2 linked regions of the Notamacropus eugenii genome follow. The protein of the gene in region 2 purifies or fractionates together with the protein of the main gene of each other region. This does not show direct contact. Links are inferred from orthologs where the notes say so. Each region holds a gene or a part of one and is shown on either strand. Other genes may lie near its edges.

Region 1 (15,296 bases), on a different chromosome or scaffold from region 2:
TTGCTCGCCTTCTTAAAGAGGTGGAAGAGGAGAGAAGGGGAGAAAATGTAGAATTCAAAATCCTATAGAAGTGAATGATAAAAACTAAAAATTAATTAATTTTTTAAAAGAATGTTTGACTTTTAAAATCACTGTTATATCCTTTTTACAAAAACATAAGTGTTTAATTGCGGCAAGTAAAGACAAAAAACCCTTTAAAAATATTTCTCCACCATCTCCACTGTATGTGTATGTACCTGTGAACATCAATTTTTTAAATTAAGCACAAACAAATATAATTCACAAACTAAAGCTAGTATTTATTTTAGAAATTATTAGCAACGTTTATTTATATTGTAGGACAAAAATATTTTTGGTTATGCATAAGTGACTAAATTTAGACAAAAGAGGTAAGATGATGACAATACTGCAGAATCTTTGCTACCAGATTATAGTACACTTCAATTGACAAGAAAAAGAAAGTAGTTGAATCATTTTTGCAATATAGATTCACTTCAAATAATGATGATGGTGTGGAAAAATCTCTTTGCTTAATTTACAATGAAGTTTTGGCGTGGAGAGCATAAAACCAGTCAAATAAAACGACATCTTAATACCAAGCATGTTGTAATAAATCAAAGGAATATTTTGAACAACTTTTAAAATCTTCAAATAAAGAAAAACAAGGTTTTGAAAAAGTTGTTATTGTCAATGAAAAGTATTTACTCGCAGCTTATGAAATTTCTTATTTAATTGCAAAAACTAAAGAGCCCTACACAGTAGGAAAAGATCTTCTGTTACCTGCTGCTATTAAATGTCAGAAATAGTTCAGGGGAAAAAGTATGAGGATGAAATTCATAAAATTCCTTTTTTGAATGATACCATTTCCAAAAGAGTTTCTGAAATTAGTCATGACCAATTCCAGCAGCTTATTACCAGGCTTAAGGGCAGCCCAAAGTTTGCAGTTCAGTTAGATGAAATAACTGATTTTTCTAACATAGAACAGTTGTTACTTTATGTAAGATATGTTCATGAAGGAAGCATACATGGGGAATTATTGTTTTTTTGCCTTCTGGAAGGGCACACAAAAGGGAAAGATAGGGCGGAGCCAAGATGGTGGAGTAAAAGCAACGACTTGCTAGAGCTCCCCCTACAACTCAGCCAAATACTTGTAAAAAAAAATGACTCTAAACAAATTCTGGAACTTCAGAACCCATAGAATGACCAAGTAAAGTAAATCTCCAGGCCAAGACAGCCTGGAAGGTCAACAGGAAGTGTCTTTTGTGCTGGACCAGGAGCAGAGCACAGTCCAGCATGGGCCCTGCTGGCACAGATAGGACCTGAGCAGGTGTGAGGGGGGAGTGGAACAGAATCTATGGCATCTGTGACAGTTTCCAGACTTCATGACCCCAAAACAATGAGGACAAATTGGAAGGTCAGTAAAAATCTGTGGGACATGTGTGAGAGAGTAGAGTGGTCCAGTCCCAGCCGCAGGGCAGCAGAGGGGGCTGAGGAGCTCAGGAGCAGCCACAGCAGCAGCAGGGGCAGCAGCAGTGACTGCTTCTGGAGCTCTAGGCCCACAAATTGTGGGAGGATGGAGTGGCCGACAGTATACCCCACACCCCCACTGGAAGTAGAGAACTACCTTGACAAAGACCTTACAAGTCAAGTAATTGGCTGGGGAAATGAACAAAAATAGGAAAAAAATCATATTATAGAATCTTATTTTGGTGACAAAGAATATCAAAACGTACAACCAGAAGGAGACAATAAAGTCAAAATTCCTACATCCAAAGCCTCCAAGAAAAATATGAATTTTCCTCAGGACATGGAAGAGCTCAAAAGAATTTTGAAAATCAAGTAAGAAAAGTACAGGAAAAAATGGGGAGAGAAATGAGAGTGAAAATCATAAAAACCAAGTCAACTGCTTGCTAAAGGGGACTCAAAAAATGCTGAAGAAAATAAAAATTAGACTAACCCAAATGGCAAAAGAGATCCAAAAAGCCAATGAGGAGAAGAATGCCTTAAAAAGCAGAATTGGCCAAATGGAAAAGGAGGTCCAAAAGCTCACTGAAAAAAATAATTCCTTGAAAATTAGAATAGAATAGATGAAAGGTAATGACTTTATGAAAATCAAGAAATTCTTAAATAAAACCAAAAGAATGAAAAAAAAGCATACAATGTGAAATATCTCATTGGAAAAACAACTGATCTGGAAAATAGATCCAGGAGAGAAAATTTAAAAACTATGGTTCTACCTGAAAGCAGTCATCAAAAAAAGAAACTAGACATCATCTTTCAAGAAATTATCAAGGAAAACTGCCCTGATATTCTAGAACCAGAGGGTAAAATGGATATGGAAAGGAGCCACTGATCATCTCCTGAAAGAGATCCCAAAAGGAAAACTCCTAGGAATATTGTAGCCAAATTCCAGAGCTCCCATATCAAGGAGAAAATATTGCAAGCAGCCAGAAAGAAACAATTCAAATATTGTGGAAACACAATCAGGATAACACAAGATTTAGCAGCTTCTACATTAAGGGATCAGAGGGCCTGGAGTATGATATTCCAGAGGTCAAAGGAGGTAGGATTAAAACCAAAAATCACCTACCCAGCAAAAGTGAGTATAATATGGATGTCCAGTTTTCCCAGCAGTTTTTGTCAAACAGTGAGTTCTTACCCCAGAAGCTGGGGTCCTTGGGTTTATCAAACAGTTGATTGCTATATTTATTGACTACTATGTCTTGAGTACCTAACCTATTCCACTGGTTTACCCCTCTATTAAGAAAAGGCTTTTTCAATGGAGGGGAAGAGGCAGAAGGTGAGAGGGAAAGAGTGAACTTTCTTACTGGATTTGGCTTAAAGAGGGAATAACATGCACACTCAATTTGGTATGAAAATCTATCTTACACTACAGGAAAGTAAGGGGAAGGGGACAAAAAGGGTTGGGGGGTATGATAGAAGGGAGGGAAAATAGGAGGAGGGGATATTTAGAAGTAAACATTTTTGAGGAGGGACAGGGTCAAAAGAAAGAACAGAATAAATAGAAGGCAGGATAGGATGGAGGGAAATATAGTTAGTCCTACACAGCATGACTATTATGGAAGTCTTTTGCATAACTACACATGTACAGCCTATATGGAATTGCTTGCCTTCTAGGTGGGGAAGGGTAGGGAGGGAGGAAGGAAGAGAAGTTGGAACTCAGAGTTTTTAAAATGAATGTTAAAAATTGCATGCGACTAGAAAATAAGACATACAGCAATAGGGTATAGAATCTACTTTGCCCTACAAGAAAATATAGGGGAAGGGGATAAAAGGAGGAATGCGATAGAATGGAGAACAGATTAGGGGGAAGGGGTAATTAGAATGCATGGTGTTTTGGGTGGGGGAGGGGAGAGATGAGGAGAAAATTTGGAACTCAAAATCTTGTGAAGTGAATGTTGAAAACTAAAAATTAATTCATTAAAAGGAGGGAAGATATATATATATGTACATATATAAAAATTGAGTTTTTCACAAGTGAAGGTTTATAGTGGAAAAATTGCATTGGAGTCTGTACAGATGGTGCTGGAGCAATAATGGGCAAGAATGTTGTATTTGTAGCAAAAGTTAAAGCTGATGGAAATGAACATATCCTTTTTACTTACTGTATCATCCACTGGAAGGCACTCATAGCCAAAGAAATATCACCAGAGTTAGATGCTGTGCTTTACAATGCTATCAAAATCATTAACTTCATTAAAAGCCATGACCTTAACAGTTGTTTTCAAACCTTTGGAAAGACATGGACTCTGATTGCAAAAGCTTATTACTACATGCGGAGGTAAGGTGGCTCTCAAGAGAGAGAAATTTAAACAGATTGTTGAAACTGAAAGATAAAGTTGTTATATCTTTGATTGAGCAGAAATCCAATTTTGTTAACTTTTTTCATAATGACTTATGGCTTTCAACACTGTGTTATTTATCAGATATTTTCAAAAAAACTCAATGATCAAATATGTCGCTTCAAGGAAAGAATTGTAACATATTTATGTTAAAAGATAAAATTGAAAGTTTTATTTAAAAAAATTAATATATGGAAGAATAGGGTAGAAAATGGTTTTTTACAAATGTTACAGCTACAGATGATTTTATAATTGAAAATAACCTTCCCAAAGATTTAATTGTAGGAGTTATAATTGATCATCTGAAGTGCCAGGAAACACAGTTTCAGAAATACTTATCTTCAAATTTCGATTCTAAAAAACTAAGTTGGGTTTATAAACCATATTCAATTGAAATCACAAACATCAATCATTAAAAGTTCAAGAATTTACTGAGTTATCAAATGATACAGGTTTAAAACTTGAGTTTCCTAAAAAAACTGCTAAATGAATTTTGTCTTGGGATTAGGACAGACTTTTCAACAATGTCTGAAATGTCCCTAAACATATTTCTGCCATTTTCTACTATGTATTTATGTGAAGTGGCATCTCCACATTGTCGATCATACAATCAAAATATCACTCAACTCTGGAAAATGTTGAAGATGCTCTATGTACTGCAGCATCAAATATTCCTCCAATATTTAATTCTTTATGTAAAAATCAACAAGCACATCCATTTCATTAGTATGAAAATTTGTTTTTATCTCTAATAAATGATAAAATTATATATGCCAAAGAATTGTTTTAAAATAAATTTCTTTATGATTTACTATCAGTAAATTTTGATTTGTATAACTATTTTATATACTGACATACCTAGGATCACATAAAAATTTCTCAGGCAAAAAGGGGTCACTAGCAGAAAAAGTTTAAGAAGCCCTGGGGTAGAGGACTGAGGGCAAGAAGCAGTATAAAATGTAACCAACCTGACTGTGAGAGAAAAGGGCCAAAGTCAACCATTTGTAATGTTGTCTATGACCTTATTTGAATGAGGAAAGTGACCAAGGAACTAGTATATGCTTGGAGGGAATATCCAATGCACTAAGGGCCTTCCTCTAGGTCTTTTTATGTATAGAATGAAGAAGTATTTTTTATTAAGCACTTCCTATGTGCCAAGCACTATGCTAAACACTGGGGATTCAAATGAATAAACAAAGCAGTCCCTGCTCTCAAGGATTTCACAATTTTCCCTAAATAGGGAAAGTAAATGAGTTTTCAGTTGTAGGGCAGATGGAAAGGTGCCAAGGTATTTAAGGTGTAGCAACAGGGCAGATGACAAAGCCTAGAAACCCATAAGGTGAATTGGCAGGTCAGACTGGCAATGCCTAGGGTAAGACTGATGGTAAGGCCCCATCTTAACTGAAAGGATGGTAGCAGGTAACTCCCTACTTATCCAAGCAGTGTGAGCTTTATATGTCCCCAACCAACAACTGGTGGGAAAGGGTAGAGTAGGCCTAAGGATTAAATAGACCTTTAATTACCTCAGGAAGGGTATGGGAATGGCAGTAGAGTTAATAGGGCACCACCATCCTTCCAGTCACCCAAGTTCTCAACTTTAGTATCATCCTTACTTTTACTGACGTCAAATTTACAATTAGTTGTCAGATCTAATTTCAATTATTACAACTTTTTTTCAGATATATCCTCTTCCTTTCAATCACACAGCTATCACTTTCATTCAGACTTTCATCATTTCTTAGCTGGATTATAGCAATAGTTTAGTTTCCTAGTTCAAAATCTGCTTCAAGTATTTCCCCTGTTAAATCCATAATCCATCCTCCACACAGCTGCCAAAAGTGATTTTCCTTAAAGCTCAAGTCTGACTATATCACCCTTCACCCCTGCCTCTATAAACTTTAGCAGTTCTTTATTCTCTCTAGGACCAAATATAACCTCCAAATATACCTGGAATTTAAAGTTTTTCACAATCTGGTCTTTTTCTACCTTTCTAGGCTTTTTATACATTATTCCCCTTGATGCATTTTATGATTTAGCCAATTGAGTTACTTGCTATTTTTTCATATCACAATTCATCTCTTTATCTCAGTGCCTTTGCAATGACTGTTCCCCAAACCAGGAAATACTTTTCCTTCTTACCTCTACTGCTTAGGATCCCTGGCTTCCTTCAAGATTAGTCTCAAACACCACTGAAATGGATTACAATTTATCTGTTCCTTCTTATCCTATGTTACTTATCCATGTCTCTACATAAATCTCCTATAGAGGATCTACCCAACACATCAGAAATAGGCCAAGAATTCTTAACCTGGGGTCCTTTCTGGAATCAAGCAATATACATAGTGGTTGTATGTTCTCTAAACATCTCAGTCAATTGTATGGCTTAAAAGATGAAGTCTCTGATAGAAAATCTTACAGGAACACTACTGAGGTCTTTCGATACTAAATCCATTGTTCCATCCAGTAACAGCTCAGTTGGGCTCTTTATTTCGGCTACAATAGCCCTGTCACTCACATTCTCATGGTGTGTTAAACAAAACTATAATTACTTTACATTCAGTACATGATTGCATTTGATAATTTAGATAAAAAGCTTTCATAGAGACATCAGAATTGGAACTACAGAGTTGTAAATACACTCAGACTATCTAATCCAACCTGTACCTGAAACAGAATCCCTTCTCATTTTCAACATACACTCAACCAGCTTTTGCTTGGAGACCTCCAGGGAGAGGGAATCTCCTAGAGGTAGCCCTTTCTACTTTTACATAGCTCTAATTGTTGGGAGAATTTTTCTTATATCAAATCTAAATTTGCCTGTCTTGCATCTTCTACCCATTACTGCAAGTCTGCCCTTCAGAGCCAAGGAGAACAAATTTAAACTCTCTCCCTCATGATGGCCCTTCAAATACTTGAAGACTGCTTATCATGGTCCCTCTGTCTTTTCCTCTCTAGGTTAACCCTCTCCACAGTTTTTTCACTTATTCTGGCTGCTTTCCTCTGGATACTCTCCATCTTATCAATGTCCACTCTAAAATGTGGCACCCAGAACTAAATACAATACTTCAAATGTAGTCTGACCAGCGTAGAGTACAGTGAGACTGTGTGTTTGTTCATTGCCAAAGAAGACCATGCCATCAGAGAAATGATGACGTGACTTGTACTTGACTTTGCTTTGAGTGAGGGAGAGCTGTGCAGGTCACCAGCCTTACTTCTTCTCCAGAGTCATCTGAATCCAGTGACCAGATATTCATCAGGATGACTGGAGATGACCCAGGATGAGGCAATTGGGGTTAAGTGACTTGCCCAAGGTCACACAGCTAGTGAGTGTCAAGTGTCTGAGGTGAGATTTGAACTCAGGTCCTCCTGACTCCTGCAGTGGTGCTCTATCTACTGCACCACTTATCTGTATTACTTTCCTAATTCTGGATCCCATGGCACAGTATGAAACTTGAGACTGCATCTGCTTTCTTGGCAGCCACATCATTATTGACTCTTACTGAGCCTGCAGAATACAAAACCTCCCATATCTCTTGCAGATGGACTGATGCCTAATTATACCCCTCCTGTCTTTTACTTGTGAAACTGATTTTTTTTTAAAAGATCAAGTGTTTTTACATTTATCGTATTAAATTCCATTTATTAGTTTTAATTCAGTGTTCTAAACTGTCAAGATCACTCTGATTGCTGACTATTGATCTTGTTAGCTATCTTTCTAACTTTCTGCCATCTGCAGATTATACAATAAACATGCCATCTACCTCTTTATCCAACTCAGTGATAAAAATGTTAAAAGGCATAGGACTAAGCACTTTCCAAGCTGACACTGAACTATCAATAACTCCTTTTTTGGTCCAACAATTAAACCAGTTCCTAATCCACTTACCTTATATAATTACCTCATCCTTCTACCTTGTCCGGAAGATTAGCATAAGAATCTTTGTTGTACCATTTTGCAGAAATCTAGATAAAGTATATTCACAGCGTTCCTCTGATCTAGCAATCTGTTTCATTAATGTAGACTGAATGATGAATCCAAACTGGCTTTTTGTGATCTCTGCTTTCTTTTCTATGTCAACTACCACATTTTTGGAACTGTTTCACAGGAGTTGAAGTCACTTAGGCAGCTAGGTGGTGAAATAAATGGATAGAGCGCTGTACCTGGAATGTTTAACTCCCCGCTCAGGGGCTTACTTACTAGCTGTGTCCCCCTGGGCAAGTCAATTAATCTTTGCCTGCCTCAGTTTCCTCAGCTGTAAAATGGAAAGAGTAATGGTGCCTACCTCCGAGGGTTGTTGTTAGGATGGAGATGATATCTGCCAAGTCTTTTGTAAACCTTAAAGCCCTACGCTAGGTATAAAGTCAAGGGTGCTACTTTCTTGGCAAAGATTCCATCCTTTTCCTTTCCTTTTTGTCCTCCAGTCCTGCAGTGCTTGTTTCTAGCCTGCAAAGGCTGTGGACTGCCTCAGCAGGCACCCCCCCAGTCTTTTCAGTGCCCTGATGTGGTTCCTCTGGTTGTGATGCCCTAAGGGAGTGAGGGCAGTTTAGTCTTGACATCTCCTCACTCAGCGTGGGACACAAGACTGGATCTCTTCTGCTCCTTACAGGATGCCTGGAAGGCAGTCTGACCGCGAAGCTTAGAGGAGCAGGCGGGGAGGGCCCTGAAGGCCTCCTACCGGAGCTGTGCTTCTCTGGCAGGTAACACAACGCCGCAGAAGGGTGAGTTCATGAAATGAACCGCGGGGGAGCTTTTCCTCCAGTTTTGTTTGTTTGTTTATTTATGCAGGTGAACAGCAAAGTCTCATAGCACGGAAAAAACAAAAAATTAGAAAGACGTCATTTGGGGATTTGCTTTAAGTGGGTATTTAGGAAACACCCAATCACTCCAGGATTTTAACAACGATCGTGTCCTAATTAAAATGTACGTGAAACGTTACAATGACAGCTTGGGGGAAGGGGAGGGGACGGGGAGGGGACGGGGAGCGCTTCCTTAGCTTCACAAAGTTGACGACAGGCAACGAGGAATCTGCTAGAAAGCTGAAGGGGAGAGCAGCGGAGAACCAACCGAAGGGCAGCCCCAGGACCTTCAGCTACACAGTCTTCCATCCCAAACCCTCAGGGCTTCCGGCATCCCACCCCCTCCCAGAAATCGAAAGCCTTTCGGAGCCTACCGAAGAAGTTTGTCTTTCCTCGCTCGCCGTCTCCCGGTGCTTTCTCTTAGCCAATCAGGATGCCGGGCAGGTGGTCAAAGCAGACCGGAAGAGGCGGGCCCAGGGTCTTTTCTCGGCCGCCGTCTCCCGGTGTCTTCTTCTAGCCAATCAGGATGCCGGGAAGGTGGGCAAAGCAGGCCGGAAGAGGCGGGCGCAGGGATTGCGCGCGCGGTAGAGTTGCGGCCTCTCAGTCATGGAGGAGATCTTTGCCAAGTTCGTGTCCCAGAAGATCAGCAAGACCCGGTGGCGGCCGGTGCCGCTCGGGAGTCTGCAGCCTGCCGAGACCTTCGCCACCGGCTCTTGGGACAACGAGGTATCCGCCTCTTCCTTGTCTCGTGGCTGCCAGGTTCCCGCAAATCGCGCGCTCCCCTTTCCCATCCTGCCGCATCTTCTTGGGCTTTCTTGGCCTTCTCCCCCACGCACGCGGAGCAACCCACGAGCTTCGCGCTCGTTCTGAAAGGACTCCCCCCGCCCCCCGACTCGGGTCATAGACGTCGGAGCCAGGAGGGATGTTAGGTACCATCCATTCCAATGCCGCCCTCTTTAACTGAGGCTCAGAGAGGTTAGGCTTCCTGCCCAGGTCACACAGTAGGAGGTTGAAACCCAGCTTCCCCGATTTAATTGCTTTTTTCCTATCTATAATATTTACTAGCAGTGTAATTAATGTAATAATATAAATCCCGAGGGGGTCATTTTTCCTCTCGGGAACTAGCCAGCTCCGCTGGCCCCTCAGGGTTCTTCCTCCAGATAACAGATTGTCTGAGTGTTACCAGGAGGATTCGGAGACCCAAATAATTCGGGCAAAGTCACGCAGGCAGAGAAGCATTAGAAGACACCTGTTACCCCTAGAAGTCAACACGCATTTATTAAGTACTCACTGTGTGCCAGATTTCTGTACTAAGTACTAGGAATATTTTTTCTTAAAGCTTCAGTCTCTTCCCTCTGAGATTTCTTACGATTTGTCTTGCTTTTAAAAAGTGGTCTGCCTACCATCATCCTCGTTAGAATGTTAGCTTCTTGTGGCCAAGGACTGAGGCTTTTTTTTTCTTTTTTAAACATCATTTCCCAATTGACTGGCTCCCCTTAGTTTCCAGTTTTTGGCTACCTTGGAAATACCGGCTATAAATATTTTTGTACGTAAGACTCATAGTGCTATCCCTGTGTAAAAAGGTATACACAATTTAATAACTCTTTGGGCATTAAATTATATTCTTGAATGGCTGGACCAGTTTATAGCTCCGTCAATGGAGTCTCAGTGTGTTTTAATAACTTTTTTATGCACTTAATCTGTTTCTTATAATTATTTTTCTGCATGCGTGATCTCAAATATAAATCTGGAAAAAGATGCTTAATGGTCTTCTTAAATGAATGATAACCCCCTTATAAATTCCAAAAATTTCATGCCTCCATGATAATAGTTGTCCTCTTAGTATCAGTGACTGAGACAATACATAATAAGCTAGTGGTGCCCATATATAATATTACTGGACCTGTTGAAATAGTTATTGGCCCCATTCCTCCTGTTTCTCCTAACATTCCTACAGACTGGAAACTACTTGAGTGGTTTAAACTGTTACCAAATAATTGATCATCCAAAAGTAAAACATGGAATATTTGAAGTGAACGAAGATTGTCATTTTATAAAATGGACTTAATCTGTCATAACATAAAAATGATACTAATTTACAGGAAAACAGTGTTTCACTCTGGTGTATTGGAGATTTTGGTAATTTGAGCACCGAAGGAGGGTTTGAAGGAGATCATCAGTTATTATGTGACATCAAACATCATGGTGATGTAATGGACTTGCAGGTAACCTAGACATTTTAAGACTTAAAATACTATAGAATATTATTTCTCTAAATATATATTCATATGGCCCAGAGTTAATCTATTGTTCACTCTTCTGAGATTGAGAATAGCTTAAGAAAGCCCAAATTTATATAAATATCCATTTATCATAATTAATATTTTTGTCTGTGCAGTAACTTTTTAAAGTGCTTTCGTTACTTTGCTCTTACTGATAAGGAAAGGCAATGTGTAATAGTTTTGAACTGGAATGAGCAACAGAAGACTTTGGGTTGTCATACCATATAAGATTTTAGCCTCTATAAGCCTTATTCTCCTCTTAAAGTAGTACTTGCCATGCCTACTTTACAGAGTGCTAAGGAAAGCGTTTTATAAACTGTAAAGTACCATGTGGGAAGCGTGAAGGCTCTGTGGATGGAGAGCTGGCTTTAAAGTTGGAAAGACCAGTTTCAAATCTTGTCTCCAAGACAGTGAATTACAAACTAGCAGCAGCTCTGTGTTGCTGATTTGCATGTGTAAAAATTTCCATGCTGAGTTTCCTTCACTGATGACATAGGTTCAGATTTATCCCCCTCTCCTCCCCTCCAAAAACCACTTTAAATAATGAATTATTTATAATTTTGTTAATTTCTTTGAGCTTCAATTTGTTTGTTTTTCAATCATTTAGTCCTGTCTTACTCTTTGTGACCTCATGGACCATACTGTCCATGGGGTTTTCTTGGCAAAGATGCTGAAGTAGTCTGCCATTTTCTTTTCTAGTGGATTAAGGCAAACAGAACTTTAGTGACTTGCCCATGGTCACACTGGTAGTGTTTGAGGATGGATTTCAATTCAGGTCTTCCTTACTCCAAGCCCAGTGCTCTATCCACCGAGCCACATAGCTAGCTACCTAAACTTCAGTTTACCTCTCTATAAATTGGAAATAACATCAGCCTGACCTTTCTCACTGATTTGTGAGAATAAAATGAAATAATATATTTGAAAGTCCATCATAAAAAGTAAAGTGTTATACAAATTATTATTATCTTTTATGTTTAAAATTGTGGTTATGTTTATCATTAAGTAAAATTGTACAATTGTTTACTAATATTTTGAATCTGTAACGAGCAGGATTTTTCTACTGCTTAGTTTTTGGACCAGGAAAGAATTGTAGCTGCTTCATCAACAGGAAGTGTAACAATTTTTCTTCACCATCCAAATAATCAGGTAAATAGCATTTTATACAAAAATTGAATTTTTAAAATTATTCTTAATGTTTATAGGTTAATATGTAAATCCTTCCTTACTGAATAATAAATTATGCTTTGTAATCCTAAAACCTAAAGGGCAAAAAAATTATAAAGTATTCATATTAGTGTAGACTTTTCTCAAAACCTAATATTCTTTGGGCATGGTGGTATATGCCTATGATTCCCACTATCAGGAAAGCTAAGACTGGAAGATTTCTTGAGCTTTAGAGTTCTGAAGTGCATTGGGCTAACCTGATTGGGCATCCAAACCAAATATGGCATTAAATAAATGGGCTACCAAATTGCCCAAAGAAACAAAAGAAATTAAAATTCCCATGCTAACAAAAGTGGTATTGGGCCCATTGTAGTTCCAGCCTGGTTGAGATAGGTAGACCCAGTCTTTTTATTTTTTAAGATAATATTCTTTACCATTAAGTAGTGAAAATTCTATTAATTTAAACTGAATAACCTATCATTTTAGAGTAACTGTAGTCATGTTACTTTGCCTTTATAGTTGTGTCACTTTTTTTCAAAGACAAAAAGAACACTTATTGTCTTACTTGCCATAAGGGATGGAAAGATCTCTTTGGTTCTACTAATGATGCCTAGATTTTTCTTTAAGGGGTAGATGTTGAGACAGTGGCAAACCTTCATAAAAAATGCCCCTTTTTTAAAAAATCTAACCCAAGTTTGTTGACTGACCTTCAGAAAATAATAAAGGACGCTTTGATGAGAAAAACTTATAGTAGCATAGGGTCTTATATAGCTTATGGCTAGAAAAGAAAACCTGTTGAGATTTTTCTTCTTCCCATGCAGGTCATCTTAGTGATTTAATAAAGTCAAGAATGAAACATTTAAAAAATCTAAACTATGACTTTTATTTTCTTAATGACATTGTTGACAGGAAATCATAATTTCTGACAACCTGATTGTCTAAGAAAATTACTTATTTTTGAACGCAGTAATCCTGGATACCTAATAATTACTTTTGAAAGACAAGTGAAGTAAATGAAAGTGTTACATACAATAATTTAAAGCATCTTGGAAGTCCTACTTGCTTGGGAGCTTTTTAGCCGCCTTAATGACAAGAGATATTCCAAGATGAAAAATAAGCTGTTTATCATTAAAAACTTTCCTTTAGAAATTAATCCAATGGATAGAGGTTTGAAAAGTGTTTCCTAGTCACAAAAATTATATTTTCTGTGAAATATCAAGGACAGAGAGAGGTTTTTCTGTGGAGCTGAGAGGAGAAATAGAAACAGAAAAAAAAAAGCATTTTGTGTCTTTGATTACTTTAGGTAATTATTCTAATTTCCTTCAAACCTGGAAGTACTATATCATGGGAAGAAAAATTGCTACAGTTGCTATTTGATAACCTTTGATTTTTTGATATCACCAAATGACTTTAAGGTGTTTTTCTTCACCCTCTCTTATTCCTCACAGACTCTTTCAATCAGCCAGGAATGGGTAGGAGCCCACTACCACATTGGCCCAGGTAGTCCTTCCTATAGGAGTGCACCATGTACTGGTATTGTATGTAACAGTCCAGAGATTGTTACTGTTGGAGAAGATGGCAGAATCAATCTCTTCAGAGTTGATTACAGGGAAGCTGTACGGACTATAGGTAAGAAGACTGATTTGTTCATTTTTTTTGACCAATAAGTATTGGCCACTCATGCTTATGAACCATTGTACCACTCTGCTATGAGAACTACAAAGATATACAAGAAAATCTCTGTCTTTGAAAGACTCAGTTTAGTATGGGAGTTAAAACGTGTAAATAAATATCTACACTAGAAGGTAATATACAGATGATACATACTAAATGAGATGCAAAGGAAGGAAAAAGTGTTTCTGTTTGAGATGATCTAGAAAGACATCGTGAAGAACATTGCTTTGAGCTGGAATTTGAAAAGTGGGTGGATGATGGTGAATGGAAGAGTTTACAGGCAGTGAGAGTAGCTTGAACCAAAGAAATGGAAGTCAGCAAGCACAGTATGTGTTTGGGACATAGTAGCTCAGAATTTGGAGGTGTAGCTTGAAGTAAAACTCGAAGTTAGTTTGAGGCTAGATGTGAATACCAGGCCAAGATTGAATTAGCTAGAGAAAGCTACAGAGTGATGCTTTAGGCAGATTCATTTGGCCAGAATGTTTCAAATTAATTTGAAGGGAAAGAATTGGGGAAAAACAAGAATTTATTGCAGGAGTCCAGAAATGAGATGACTGCCTGAACTATGGTTCAGAAGTACTGAAAGACCAGGAAGAGCTTTGAACCTGGTTGAATTGTCATGATATCAACAGAGATAGAGAAGAAGTAAGGACTGAGCAATGTGCTGCAGTGAGAAAGACCCTTTGATTTGGAGACAAAAGATCTCATTCAGATTCTGGCTCTGTTGCTTGCATGTGTGACCTTGGACAAACCATTTCACTTTTCTTATCCATAGGGAGCAGGTTAAACTCAGTGGTCTTGAAGGTTCCTTCCAGCACTGAATCTGTAATCTTATGATCCTACAAGCTAGTTTGAGAGGATTTGGGGATTATGTGGGTTGTTTTAGATATGTTATATTTGAGATGACAGGTGAGACAGGTGGAGATGGACATTGCAATTGGACCCTGGGAAATCTAAGGACTTAGAGCTACATTTTTGGAGCTGCAGTTATCCCTTCTGCATCATGGGTGTAAGGGTTAAGATGCTCTCTCAATCCAGAAAATCTACATAAAAATTTTTGGCCCTCCCTTCATAACAAAGAAGTCTGAATTTTTTTCTTTTATGGGGTGTTTACAGGACCTTATTGTAAAATGTGAGTTGATGTTATATAATACACATATTTTATGCATTTCTGAGTTTCTAAACTTTTTCTGTTTGTCATCTGGCCTTTGTGTGTCTTCTGCAACTTCTGCATAACTCCCCCAAAATTCCCATTTAATTTCTTATGCTGCCTGGCCCTTGATATATTGAAGCTGATGGGGAAAGTTCGTGATAATTAAAGCTAGTGAAAGTGAACGACATGTCAGATGAGAGCATGTAAAAGAGTATGCAGTGTTGCAATCTATAATACTTTATATTTAAGACTAAATATTCTTTATAAAAGGAGAATTCTCAGCTCAGATTTTAAAATAATTTAATATAATTTATATAACAATTTAAATTTTCTGTTTTTTCTTAATTGTACTACTGATATTCC
Region 2 (14,957 bases):
CTTGTGGTTCCTCTGATTAGTTCTAATTTCTCTTTATATCATGACCAATGTGAAAATATGTTTAATATGAATGTATGTAGAGCCTATATCAGACTGCACACTGTCTTGGGGAGAGGGTGGGGCAGACAATTTAAAATTCAAAATCTTATGCAAGTGAATGCTGAAAACTAAAAATAAATTAATTATATATAAAAAAAGTTGCTCTTAGAATCTCTATTTTGAGGAAAGGTTGAGGCCAGTCATCCTTTATTCCTCTCCTAGCTCTGTGTGACTCTTTGATTACTTTTTCACCTTGCCCTCTCTCCCACCTCTACTTTCAGCTCCCTTTAGAATGTAAGCTCTTTAGAGTAGAAACTGTCTTTTTGCTTATACAGTCAATTCTACTATAACCTGTGTTACCAAAACGAGAAATGTGTTCCAATGTAATTGATATTTTAGGAAATATTTTGAGCATGACAAGGATTTCAAGTTTGCTTCTACATGATTTCTTCCACTAGAAACAACAAAAATGCAGAAAACAGCACCACTTCACAATAATTCAAAAGCTGCAACCCTTCCAATGCCTACTTCCACAAGTGAAGTTTAGGTCTTTGTCAAGATAAAGTACAATCACATAGTATATATGTTCTTGTGCAGTAGCAGCTCTGAGTGGAGAAGGTCTGGCACATACCTTTCTACCATGGCCTTGGGCCCAAGGCCTGTAATTGCAGTGGTGACTACTCAATTTGCTTGCACAGCCTAGAGCAGCAGCCTCAAGTCATGGACACAGACATTATTTACTGTAGTATGGATTTCTTAATTTTAAAAATTAGGTTTCTATCTTTTTTTTTTTTAATGTATCACCAATGAAGTTTTTGAGCACTGTGCCTCTAACCCCATTTCCCCTATAGCTCTGTGAGATTTTTTTTACATGTTAAGGTGCTTTTGGAAAACTCCTAGATTGCAATGCAGCAGGATTGCCTGCATATCTATCCCCAGCACTGAGCACAGTACCTCACAAAAAATAAATGCTTAATAAATGCTTGTTGCCTTCATAGATTTTCAAGCTCTCAAACAAGGTACTATTCAAAGAAGGGCAAAGATCACCCGCCAAAAAAGTGGCCAAAAATATTAGTAACAACTACTCCATTTGTCTACTTTTTCTTCCTTATAAAACCTTTATGAAAATGATCCTCAAACATATTAAGGGAATTAACAAAAATTTAAGAAGGAAACAAGGAGGTATTAGTAGATGCTTCCTTACAGCAGACTACATCTTCTCAGTCACGCAATTGAATGGGAAGTATATAAAATATGAGTCTGTGTTTTCAATTGGTTGATTATAAAATAGGCTTAATGAAATAAAACAGGCTTAAAGATTCACCTCCAAAAAGGTATTTTCCACATAAGACAGTACAAGGTTCCTGGAACTATACAACCACAGAATTAACTTGTGTTCATCAATATTCTGATTATCTATTCAGCAAAGAATTAAAGAGGGACATTATGGCTCTGGAGGAGAAGTGAAGCTGGTGACCTTGCACAGACCTCCCTCACTCAAAACAAAGTGCAAGTCATGTCATCATTTCTCTGATGGCATGGTCTTCTTCAGCAAGAAAGGACAAACACAACCCTGTGAATAGACTCAGCTCCTTGTCTCCTGTCTGTCTCCCCCTCCCCTCATCTCCTCTCCAAAGGAAGGTAAATTTGAACGGCCAAAAGATGCCCAGGTGACTTGGGTTTTACTGGCTAGTCTCCCTTTCTCTCCCTTCCCTTCCCTTCCTTGAGCCTATTGTACTCTGAAGCTCAGACAACATGAGGCCCCAGCCCCCTGCCCAAAAGCTCTCTTCTGGACCCTCCTGGCTTCAGAGTGATTATCAATAGTAACTGTTGCTGTTTGCCTCCCAGCCTGAAGTCTTTCTTTTCCTTGCCTCATTAAAGGAGCCATGCCCTGACTACTTCTTAAAGAGGCCTATTCAATGAAGGGGCATTACCTCACCCAGGCAGCTAGGTGGTGCAGTGAATAGAGCACCAGTGCAGGAGTCAGGAAGACCTCAGTTCAAACCTCACCTCAGACACTTGACACTCACTAGGTATGTGACCTTGGGCAAGTCACTTAACCCCAATTGCCTCATCCTGGGTCATCTCCAGTCATCCTGATGAATATGTGGTCACTGGATTCAGATGGCTCTGGAGGAGAAGTGAGGCAGGTGACCTGCACAGCCCTCCCTCACTCAAAACAAAGTCAAGCGCAAGTCATGTCATTATTTCTCTGATGGCATGGTCTTCTTCAGCAATGAAGAAGAACACACACAGCTAATTATCTCTCCCTAAATGAGCATCTGACCAAGGTCTCCCACTGCATCCTGGGTCATCTCCAGTCATTCTGAGGAATATCAGGTCATTGGATTCAGATGGCTCTGTAGGAGCCAACACAACACAAGGACGAACACCACAAAAGAGGGACATATACTCATCAAAAAAATTTACTACACTTATGGAAAGATCCTGCAAGAAATTCTCTATAGACGAGGAGGTTACCCAGGTACTTCTCTTTGCAGATAATATTGTACTTGACTGCAGAAAACCCTGGAAGGCCAGATGGAACAAGAGAATCACTACCAGTAAAGAAATACTGGTTTAATAATCTACCCAGAAAAAAAAGTCTTCTGGACTCCAAATACAGCATTCTTTTTACTACATCCCACAACTAATCGATGGAATATAACAATTTCATTAGAATACTGTAAGTAATCCAAAGAGTGACGGTAAGAGATGTGATTAGTCACTAGTAAAACTATTCAGGGTAAGATTAAGTGAGAAAGCAAGGGAATAAGCATTTATATAAAAGTCTACAAAATGCTTGGAGTTATGCTAAGCACTTTTTTACAAATGTTTTCTCATTTTATCCTCACAATAACCCCACAAGATATGTGCTATTATTGCCCGATTTTACAGCTAAACTAAGGGAAAGAGAGGTTAGGTGACATATCCAGGGTCACACAGCTTGAAAGTGTGAAGCTGTATCTGAACTCAAGTCTTTCTGATTCCAAGACCAGTACTCTATCCACTGTGCCACTAGTTGCCTGTAAGTGTAGAGAGAAAACAAGCTTGGATATAATTACATTATCATGTACTACCAATCAAAAAAAAGAGAAAGAAATATAAGATAAGGAAAAAAACGGATCAGTTACATAGCAAGACAATGATTTAGAAAGTCATTCATTTTCATTCACTTATTTTTTTTAAAGAATTCTGATAGGACTTTAAAAAAGTATTATGGTATTTCATGAATTAAAATTAATTTTAAGATACTAAAAGCCCTAGGAAAGACCTTAACATTTGGGCAGAAATCCTTTACGCAAAAGAATCATACAAGATGAGATGTACAAAGAAGTTTCATTTAATACCACAGGGGGAGGGTGGGGAAGGGTGGTGGAGTATTCACACCAGTGAGATAATAATGAAGTATAAGTTATTCATTATTTTTATTTAGACATCGTGCTACAGTGAGAAGAGGAATGGGTTTGGGAATCAAAAGGCCAAGATTAAATACTAGGTCCAACACTTAACCAGCTGCATGACTGTGGGTAAACCACTTCACCTAACACTATTTCCTCATCTATAATATTTAAGATAGTACTACTTGGATTAGTTACACTTCAAAGAGCTATTGTGAGAAAGTACTTCACCATGAAATCCTATGCAAAGGTGAGCTATTAGTATAACTAGATTCTTTTTTCACTTGGTCCCGAATCAATTTCAGCGTTAAATAATGCTACTTGGCATTCCTTTCCTGTCTTCTTCCCTTTCCCTCCCAAATTACAGTAGTTGACAAACTCCTGTTTCCAAGTCCTTATTCTCAGAGAAGAAACATTTATTTTTAGACACCTTGTGGCTTAGAGTAACTCTTTGTAAGTGATAGATGCCTCATTACAATAGAGCAGTGTCTGTCAGTGTGATATAATGGAAAGAGGCCTGAACCAAGTCAGGAGATCAGGGTTCAAGTCCTGACTCCTCTCCTCCCTTTCTTAAAGTCAACTGCCCCTCTCCTGGGGCAGGTTGCTTCACTTGTTTGCACTTCACTTCAGGTTTCATATCTGTAAAAGGGGAATAATGCTTACTTCACAGAGCTATGAAAAAAGTGACAGACTATTGTGGGTTTTTTTTCTTTTTTAAGATTCCTCCTTTGCTATCCCAAGATATAATAAAAGTATAGAGAAATTGGAATATCCAACTCTTTGGTGATAGAAGCTTCTTCTCCCAGATCTGACTGTCACTCTTGTGCTCCCTCTACCCATAGATTACCTGATCCTAATTACTTCTAGGATTAAATACAAAGTTCTCTCTTTGACAATTAAAGCCTTTCACCAGGAGGCTCGAAGTGATTTTCAACTTTAGTATGCAGTTGTTGTGTTTGTCCTTTCCTTCTCAAAGAGGACCATGACATCAGGGAGATGATGACATGACTTGCAGTTGACTTTAAGAGAGGGAGGGCTGTGCAAGGTCACCAGCTTCACTTTCTCCTCCAGAGCCACCAGGGTCCAATGGCCAGATATTCATTAGGATGACACAACATGACCCAGGATGCAATAGGAGACCTTGGCCCTTTCAGACAAAAGTCTTTTCAGGTTCTCACTTTGAATGAGATAATACCCATTCAGTGAATTAGGTCTCTTTAGGCAGATATACAGGGATCACCTCTTGAATAAAAAAAAAAATCAAACTGGGAGGGGAAGACCTTCCAGATTCCTGGCCAAAACAGAAACAGCTACTACTTAGTATTTACTCACACTCAGTGCTAGGAAGGGTGAGGACCTATAATCCAATCTATCTTTGAGAAAGAAATCTAGGCAGTAAACCCAAAGGGAAAAAGCCAGCTTTTGGGCATCAAAATGTACCCTGCCCTGGGCAGAGCACGCCAGGTAGGAAGGGGAAAAGGAAGGCAGGGGAGAAGAGGGAAGCTGCTACTCATTCACAGGTTGATTATAAAATAAGCTTAATGGAATAAAATCGGCTTGAAGATTCACCTCCAAAAAAGTGTTCTCCACTAAGATATTACAAGATTCTTTAAACTATACAACCACAAAACTAACTTGTGTTCATCAATATTCTGATTATCTATATTTAGCAAAGAATTAAAAAGGGATATATATATATATATATATATACACTCATCAAAGAAGTTCATTACTCTTATGGAAAGAGATACTGTATTACTCCCCTCAAGTACAGCAGAAATGCCACTAACGTGGCTGCCACAGTAGTTCCTCACATAAGACATCCCATCTCCTTTCTCTCCCCCTTTCTTTTCACATGCTGTCATCCCCTATGCATCCGTTAGCCTCACCTCTGAGGGCCCTTGTTTCATTCAAAACCCAGTTCAACAGCTAGACCCATCAAATTTTCCCTGCTCTCCCCACCTGTGAGCTGTTTATCTCCCCAAAGTTAACTTATATTGTTTTATATTTACATATCATATCCCAATTTAAGGTAAGTTCTTTGAAAGCCAAGACTCTTCTTGGGTCTCCAGCAACTTGCACAATACCACAATACAGGGCAAGTGCTTAAAAAATGCTTTTTGATTGACTAATTGCGAATCACAGTGTTTTTGGTCTTCACATTTCCCCCCACTCCCCTTTGAAAAGTGAACAGTAACGCAGTGACAGAAAGTCGCTGAGAAAAACTGTAGTCTACTCTTTGCTTAGTAATCTAGAAAGCAAGTAAAATTGGGGGTGAAATGGGCAAACAAAACACAATGAAAACCATTATAAGAGATCCTGTAATTTCAAAAACAATTTCTATTGTTTCTAATTAAAACTTACCTTTTACATTAAGGTGATCCCTGTTAGGTTTTGGTTTAGGCTTTTTCCTAAATATTTACTCAACATTCATTTTTTAAAAATTACGCGTGACTGATGCTCTCTCTCCTTCTAGTCCTTCTCCGTTGGGAAGGCAAACAGTAAGCTATCAGTTCGTTTAGGCTTTTCCCACAATTTACATACTAGTATATGCAAGCCATTCAAATATTTCCCAAGTTTCCTTGGGGAGAGTTAGGTAAAATGAAGTAAATAAAGTCGGGAGTAAAAGTTACGCTACGAAAATCGACAAATGTACCCGTATACAAGTGTCAAAAGTCGCACCTGTCATTTTACAGTTGCTCTTTTAAAGGCCGGGAAACTTAGCTTTTGTTAAGCGAATACGAATGCAATAATAAAAACCCGATTTCCGTCGTAGGACCCCCGTTCCATTTTCTTCTTCCCTATATCTACTCTTATTTAAAACTAGACACAATCACCCCATCACCCATCGTGGTCGACAAGCTCCTTTTCAGGCAGCAGACTCTTTCGGAAACCCGGCCGGGCCTGGAGGCCAGTAAAGGTCGGCCCGGCCAGACGCCGCCTCGGCGTGGTCACCGCAGGGCAGACGGCGCGGCCATCGCTCCGGGCCGGCAGAAGCTGTCAGGCGGGGGGGGGGGGGGGGGGGGGGGCGGCGCGGCTGGTGACAGGGGCGCTCTCAGGTTCCCCAGGGGCCCCCGGATGCTTAAGGAGGCGGCAGAGTGCGCCCCACGGAGCAGCCACGGAGAGTGGGCTGGGGAACCCCCCTCCCACCTCCCCTCCGTTACCTTTCTCGTCCTCGTCTATGCGCAGGGCGAAGGAGATGTACTCGAAGGCCTGCTTGTGGAAGGCGCGGACCCGCTCGGCCTCCCCGCCTGCCGGCACGGGCGGAGGAGCCGGGGCCGAGGCCGCCGCCGCCCCCGGCCCGGTGGCCACCGTGGCCGCCGCCCGGGTGCTCCTCTTGGCGGCCATGAGGGCGCGGGAGAAGCGCTGGCAGAGCCACACGAAGAGGAGCCCCAGGTGGAAGGCGACGAAGCGGAGCAGCGCGAAGGTGGCCAGCAGCGGGTACGAGAAGTAGCACAGGTTCCGCTTATGCGGGGACGGGCCGGCGGCCGCGGGAGGGGCGGGGCCCGCGCAGGGGGGCGGGGGCCCAGCGGGCGCGGCGCTGCTGGAGCCTTTCTTCTTCCCTCTGCCGCCCGGAGAATTCATTCACGGCCCCCGCTGCCGCCGCCGCCATAACCCGCTGCCGGCGACCGAGCGGCGGCGGTGCTGGTGCCGGCGGCAGGAGGAAGAGGAGAAGGGAAGGACAGCAAGGACGGCTAGAGGGAGAGCGAGTCCTCCGAGCTCGCGCTACCCCTACGCCCCGCCCCGCCCCTTGCCTAGGTCAGGAGCGTCACCTCCCTTTCTCAGGGCCCCTCCCCAGCCGGTCTAGGTGTCGGGACTCGGGCCCTGTCCCGCCCCGCCCTCTCGGCCACAGTCTCGGGCTGTAGGGCGGTCACGCGCACGTCCTGTCCCCTCTCTTTCCGTTCATAGGCTCCGCTGTGAGGCGGGCACGCGCACGTTCCTCACGTTCTCAGGCTGCGTTGCGCACGGGCGCTTCGGTCTTTGTTGACAGAAGCCCCAGCGGTGCGCGTGTGCAGCCCTTCAGCCCCGCCCACCCTTCCAGGCTCCGCCTTCTAGAAACTTGAAACTCCCAGCTTGCCTTGCAGCCTTTTGGAGCCGGCCTGAATTCGAAATTATCTTAGCTTCTTGATGGGTTTTGTTTACTAACTGAGAGCTAACGTTTGTGAGCGCTTTAAAATTTGTAAAGTATCTGATTTGAGCCTCATCACATCCTTACTATTGTCTTCATTTTGGCAATAAAGAGGTTTAAACAGTGAGTTGTCTAGGGTCAGTCAAGCAGCTGCCATTTATGAAGTACCCACTGTGTGCCAAGCACTGGGCTAAGCACTAGGGGTACAAAGAAATCCTAAAACAAATGACCCTTCCTGTCAGGAGGCTTACAGTGTAAGGGGAGACAGCACGCCAAACCTGTATAAACCGGGCAAATGGAGGATGTTGGAGGGTGTCGGAGGGAAGGTATCAAGATAAAGGAGGACTGGGAAAGACTTCCCGCCTAAGGGGCACTTTGGTTCTTGAAGGAAAAGAAGCCAGGGAAACTGGGAGACCCAAGAGAAGGATGAAAGTTCCCAGGAGTGGGATGGACTACTGTTTAAAGTTGAAAGATGTCAGGATTTTACATTTGGTCCCAGAGGTGCTAGGAGGCCGCTGGGCATTTCCTGAATAGCTGGGTGATGTAGTTAGAAATCTGCTTTAGGAAAATTGCTTTCACAGCTGAGCGCAGGATTGACTAGAGTGGAGGGCGACTTGAGGCAGGGAGCCAACAGCAGACTATTGTCTAGGGGTAAGGGGATGAGGGCCTGCAGGAGAGTCGAAGGAGAGAAGGGCTTAAATGAGAGGCGTCACCTCCTGTAATCAACAGGACTTGGCAACAGATTGGATAGGGGTGGGGGTGGGGGACAGAGTTAAGAGAGAGCCAGCCAGGTAAAGGACAGAGGACTGGAACTGAAATCAGAAAGGCATGAGTTTTGATTCTGCCTCAAACCGTTAACAGCTTTTCCCTTAAATCCTGCCTTCTTCCTAATTTTCCTATTGCTATTGAGGATACCACTGTCTTCCCAGTCACTCAGATGTCATCATCTACCCCTTTTCTCTCTCATCCCTCATATTCAGTCAGTTGCCAAGTCCTCTCATTTCAACCTTTATAATATCTCTCATTTGTATATAATTGGTAGCTTCTCTCTCCAATTAGACTGTGAGCTCTTTGAGAGCAGAGACTGTCTTTTGATTTCTTTGTATTCCCCCACCACTTAACAAAGTGTCTGGAACACAGTACTTGTTTAATAAAAATTTACTAACAAAATTACTCTGGAATGTTATCATGGGAAGAGTCTTTTGGCATGATCTAGTCCAGGGGTGGGGAACCTGCAGCCTCAAGGACACATGTGGCTTTCTAGATCCTTTGGTGCAGCCTTTTGACTGAGTCCAAGTTTTACAGAACAAATCCTTGTGTTAAGGGAATTTGTTCTGTGAAGTTTAGATTCAGTGAAAGGATAGCACTTTGAGGGTCACGTGTGGCTTAGAAGTTGCAGGCTCCCCACCTTTGATGGTCAAAAGCTTTCCTTTTATAGGTGAAGTAAACAGAAGTACAAAGGAACTAATTAATTAGATTAATTATGAAAATAAGGTCTTTTAAAAAATAAACATGCCATGGTGAAATCCTGTATGATGTGAACCCTAGATGATGTGAACCCCAATGTAGTGGGAAATCTCAGATCTTAGGATAGTAAATTTAGAGTTGGAAGGAAATTTTTAAATCATTCATTTTATCAGTAGGGAAACTTAGGCCCAGAAACATGAAAGTACTTGACCCTACTTCACCTCTGAAGTTTTTATATGGTTTAGACTTTACTGCAAATCATTAAATTTCATTTAACTTTGCCACACCACAACTGCCCGCGAATGTAAAAAGACCTCTTAGACTTCATTATTTTCCCCATGCTGCTTGCTATATGGCTACAAATCACAGAAGAGCAGAGTCCCAAAGGAAGCATATTGCCATAGATTACTTGTAAAGGTCTTGTTCACTCACTAAGTGGGGAAGGAGCACCTTCCCCTTTAGCCCTGTGGCCCTAAGAAATTGGCTTGAAATTCTGGTCCGTTTCAATTATCTTTTTCAGTTTTGGGTACAGGCGGCAGAATTCTGGACCCAGAAGCTCAAGCCATGGTAACCTTAGAACCAGATTACCAGGCCAGATGTTACTGTCAGTCCAATAAGGAAGCCCTAAGAAGCCGGGGGCTTTGGGCTTAGAATTTGGCACAATTAATACAGGGATGTGATAGTAAATGTTTAACAACCAGCTTGGGGCAGGGGGGGAAGAAGGGGATTGGAGAAGAATGTAGCCATAATATACTTTTAAATTTAATCTGCATTATTTACATTTTGTCCATCACTACTATTAGTAGTGCATTGAACAGTGAGTGTTTCAAAGCAATGACAGCCCATACATAGTTGCTATCACAACTACTCAATTCTGTCATTTTGCCATAGACAGTAAGTAACTTGGACACTGAAATTTGAATTTTATAAAAAATTTTCATGTGCCATGAAATATTATTTTTCCTTTGATTTTGTTTCAGTGATTTAAAAATGCAAAAACCTAGGCTATACAAAAACAGGTGGCACAATGAGGGATGGGCAAACAACAAATGGGCCATTTAAAGTCTGACACCCTTAATTTCACCTAGTGTATTAGGGGATTCAATTAGACGTGTCTCCTGATCAACCATCCTATCACACAAGGGTCTCTGGTTTTGGTTTCTAATCTTTTAATAAATCTTTCCACTTTGCAATTGTGAATATTGTGGGGTTTTTTTGCAAGTGAGTTTGTGTCAGCTGAGACCCTCACGTTCCTCTCTACTGGATATGACTTCTCTACATGGCTATTTTCACTATCACCTTTCAACTTCTATCTTCACTGAAATCTTGACCTAGGGTAGTGGCATGCCTTTTTCTGCAAAGAGATAGTATACTTACCCTGGCATCAGCAAGTGTCTTCATTAATCAACTGCCTCAGTTTCAGATGAGGCCTGCCATCTCCTATGCAGCAGTATCACACTCTTGCCAACTCAGCCGTGCTTTGCAGCTGGACTTCCCAGGTTGCATACAAGCAGTTCTGCTATAAAAGGACATATTAATTCCCCAAAAGCACCTCTGTTCTGTACAAAATTATCCAATAAATACTACAGAGCTTATAAAAAAATGGAGTTAATAACGCAATGTTCAAAAACTTCATCATGACATATAAAAAAATAGGAACCTAATAAATGGCAGGACAGTTTTATACATTTTAAATAGTTAAAAAATACATAAATATTGCAGTAAATTATAACTGCACCTGCAACATTGGTGCCTGCTCCAGTCTGCATAAACAAGCTAAGCAGGTATAGTATAAAGAAGACTTTTGTCCTTATAGTTCAGTTTCCCGGGATCCATGGCCATAACAATCTCAGTTTCCCAGGCTAATGCTAAATTGTAAATATCTGAAGGATAGATCATGGATGCCTTACTTCTTTGAACTCTGGTCCAGTTCACAGCTGTAACACGTCTGGTGCTGGGTGACATAGACTTTGGTGTCTTCTGGCTCTGAGCCTATCAGTATATATTCTGGAAAATTGATTTCTTGCCTTGGGGCTTGCTCATGGGAAGCATGCTTTGCCTGAGACCTTTTTGATTTCCAAAATAGGGCTCTGGGTAACTGTTATCAAAGGGCCGCTCAGCTGACCAAAACTCAGATGTTGGGGCTCTCTCGGTTTGGTGATATATTTTCTCCACTTTCAGGGTGATGACCTTTCCCCTGAACAAATGTTAGTTGAAAGAGGAAATAATCTCATAGAGGGAGGAGGGGAGAGGAGACCTCTCATAGGGGGAACCTTTAGGGTTGAATGCTGTGTGTGCCTTGACCTACCCCCATCAAGGCTTGAGAGAGAAGAGACCTCTGCTAGAGAGAGTGAAGGGGGAACCTTTAGGGTTGAATGCACAGGCTGGAATGCTTTGTGTGCCTTCACTTGCTTGCATCAAGGCTTGAGGGGATTTAGGGCAGTGCACAAGTTGTGCCTGTCTCAACTGACCCCATCAAAATGTAGGGGGAGTTGCCTCCCCTTCTCTCCAGTCTCTGTGAGAAGGGTGATTAGGGAGTACTATAGGAGTTAGTGGTCCCATTGCCAGCAACACTTGTGGGAACACTGGAACACTGGACTAGAATAAAGTAAGATTATTAACCCCTTTGAAGGTGTCTGCCTGTCTGACCAAATCAAGAGTGAACCTGTGCTAGCAGCCCTGAAGTATGCTATATTTATTGGGGATACAGAAGATCCCCACTGAAATTCCCAGCCTTGGGGCTTTGGAGTTATGGAAAAAGTGGATGGGAGTGGTGAAGAACTACTCATCTCCTCTCACAGTTTTTACTGAACCAGAAAATATATGACAAATATAGCCCTTTACCTTGAGAAAGATCTAAAGTTTGCTTGTGGAAATGGGTATTGGAAGATTTGTAGCTTCTGGGTTATCATAAAATGGTGCATAGTTTTCTGCATTCTCACTGTTTCCAGTAGAAGAAATTTCCCTGAAGCAATCTCAAAATTTCAAAACAGGCATTACACTTTTAAGTGTTCAGAAACACATGATAAACCTGAATGTGTCTTCTATGTGTCTGTCCTTTTGCTGAAAGACACCAATGTTGATGATGAGGAGGAGAGAGAAGGTCTTGTTCCTTTACTCCTTTTGACTCCTTTTTTTGAGTTTTCTCCACTACTCAGATGCTAGTAGTAACAGTTTCTCTAATTTTGATTGCTGTTTATCTCATGAGTGGACAGAGAAAAGGCAAGCCCAGCAACAAGTATATTATATCTGAAACTCTCCAGTGAGTTAGTTTCTTGACCCTTTTAGACACTTTTAGCCAATAGACTACTCAGTATGAAAGAGGCTTACCAATAATGCCCCCCTTTCCTTGTTTTCTGTCCCTTATGTTGCTGTTGCTGCTGTTGAGTGGTTCAGTCATGTCCATGGTCCCATGCACCAGCACACCAGGCCAGGCCTTTCTATCTTCCAGTACTTCTTGAGATCTGTCCAAGTGCGTATTCTTTGTTTCCATGACACTATCTATCCCTCTCATCCTCTGCCTTCCCCTTTTCCTTTTGCCTTTCCCAATATCACTTTCCTAGTGAGTCTCACCTTCTCATTAAGTGGTCAAAATATTTAAGCTTCAGTTTCAGTATTTCATCTTCCAGTGAATAGTCTGAATTAATTTCTTTAAGTATGGCTGATTTGATCTCCTTCCTGTCCAAGGAACTTTCAAAATTCTTTCTCCAGCACCACCATTTGAAAGTGTCAATTCTGAGATGCTTAGCTTTCTTTATAGTCAAGTCCCACAGCCATGCATTGCTACTGGAAAAACCATTGCTTTGACTCTATGGACCTTTGTCAGCAATGAGATATCTCTGCTTTTAGGTAAGCTGTCCATATTTGCCTTAGAATTCCTTTCAAGGAACAATTAATTTCATGGCTGCATTCACCATCTTCTGTGATCTTTGAACCCAAGAATGTAAAATCTGACACTGCTTCCATTCCTTTTCCTTCTGTTTGCCAGGAAGTGATGGAACTGTTTACCAAGATCTTCAGGGGTTTTTTACGTTAAGCTGCAAGCCACCTTTTACACTCTCCTCTTTTATTAAGAAGCTTCTTAATTCTTCACTTTTTGCCATCAAAGTGGTATGATCTGCATATTTGAGATTGTTGGTATTTCTCCCAACAACCTTAATTCTGCCTTTTGATTCGTCCAGCCTGCCATTTTGAATGATGTACTCTGCATATAAGTTAAATAAATGAGGTGACAGTATACAGCCTTGTTGTATTCCTTTTCCAATCTTAAAACAATCAGTTGTTGTATATTTGGTTCTAAATGTTGTTTCTTGACCTGCATACAGGTTCTTCAGGAGACAATTATAAAGATCTGATACTTCCATCTCTTTGAAGATTTGCCATGTTTTGTTGTGATCCACACAGAAGAAGTAGATTTTTTTTCCTCTGGGACTTCCTTTCTCCAGAATCCAGCAAATGTTGGCAATTTTGTCTCTAGTTCCTCTGCCTCTTCAAAAACCAGCCTGCTTTTCTGGTAATTTTCTGTTCACATATTGCTAAAGCCTAGCTTGCAGAATCTTAAAAAACATAACCTTACTGATGTGAAATAAATGAAATTGTTCAGTAATTTAAACATTCTTTGGTATTGGCCCTTCTTTAGGATTGAGATGTAAACTGATCTTTTCCAATTCAGTGACAACTGTTGTTTTCCAAATTTGCTGACATATTGAGTGCAACACTTTGACAGTATCATCTTTTTGGGATTTTGAATAGCCCAGCTGGATTTTCAGCACTTCCACTAGCATTCTTAGCAATGCTTCCTAAGGACCATGGGACTTCATTCTCCAGGATGTCTGACTCTAGATCAGTAACCACACTATTGTGGTTATCAATGATGTTAAGGTCTTTCTTGTATAGTTCTATGTATTCTTGTCACCTCTTCTTAATTTGTTCTATTTCTGTTAAGTCCCCGCTATTTTTCTCTTTTTCATGTCCATTTTTGTATGAAACATTCTTTTGATATCTCTAATGTCTTGAAGAGAGCTCTTGTTTTTCCCATTCTTTTATTTTCTTCTATTTCTTTAAATTGCTCTTTTAAAAAAACCTTCTTATCTCTCCTTGTTATTCTCTGGAATTCTGCATTCAGTTGTTTTATATCTTTTTTCTTTTACTTTTTGCCTTCCTTCTTTCTCTAACTATTTGTAAAGCCTCATCAGACAACCATTGTGCTTTCTTGCTCTTTGTTTTCTTTCAGATGTTTTTTGTTGCTGCTTCCTGTACAATATTCTAAAACTCTGTCTATAGTTTTTCAGACACTCTATCTACCAGATCTAATCCCTTAAATCTATTTATCACTTCCACTTCATATTCATAAGGGATATTATTAAGTCTCACCTTATATGGTGTGATGGTTTTCTCTATTTTCTTCAATTTAAACCTGAATTTTGCAATAAGAAGCTCCAGTCAGCTTTAGGTCTTATTTTAACTGACTCTGTAGAAGTTCTCCCGCTTTGGCTGCAAAGTATATAATCAGTCTGATTTCTAAATTGACCATCTAATGATGTCCATGTATAGAGTCGTCCCTTATGTTCTTTAAAAAAAATGTTTGCTACAACCAACAAATTATCTTGGTGAAATTCCATTAGTCTCTACCCTGCTTCATTTTGTAATCCAAAGCCAAACTTACCTGTTATTCTAATTATCTTTTGGTTCCCTACTTTAACATTCTAATCCCCTATAATGAATAGGACATCTTGTTTTGTTGTTATTTCTAGAAGATGGTGTAAGTCTTCATAGAACTGATCAACTTTGGCCTCCTCAGCATCAACGGTTGGAGCAGAGACTTGTATTACTGTCATTTTGAATAGTGTGCCTTGGATTCAAACAGATATCATTCTGTAATTTTTGAGATTAAACCCAGTATGCTTTTCTCACCCTCTTAT

The links.
Region 1: the proteins of SPAST (region 2) and NUP43 purify together in Homo sapiens (affinity purification with mass spectrometry; 3 studies listed by BioGRID and IntAct, counting the BioPlex papers as one, with this or other methods). This does not show direct contact. The link is inferred for Notamacropus eugenii from reciprocal best matches to the Homo sapiens genes SPAST and NUP43.

The regions. Positions count from the first base shown.
Region 1 is NC_092873.1:241,798,485-241,813,780, reverse strand, and holds the start of NUP43 (nucleoporin Nup43), read left to right. Parts: upstream 1-9,136; 5' UTR 9,137-9,266; coding exon 9,267-9,386; intron 9,387-10,762; coding exon 10,763-10,885; intron 10,886-12,010; coding exon 12,011-12,088; intron 12,089-13,554; coding exon 13,555-13,735; intron 13,736-15,296. UniProt on the Homo sapiens protein: Component of the Nup107-160 subcomplex of the nuclear pore complex (NPC). The Nup107-160 subcomplex is required for the assembly of a functional NPC.
Region 2 is NC_092872.1:534,844,566-534,859,522, reverse strand, and holds the start of SPAST (spastin), read right to left. Parts: upstream 7,211-14,957; 5' UTR 7,026-7,210; coding exon 6,605-7,025; intron 1-6,604. UniProt on the Homo sapiens protein: ATP-dependent microtubule severing protein that specifically recognizes and cuts microtubules that are polyglutamylated.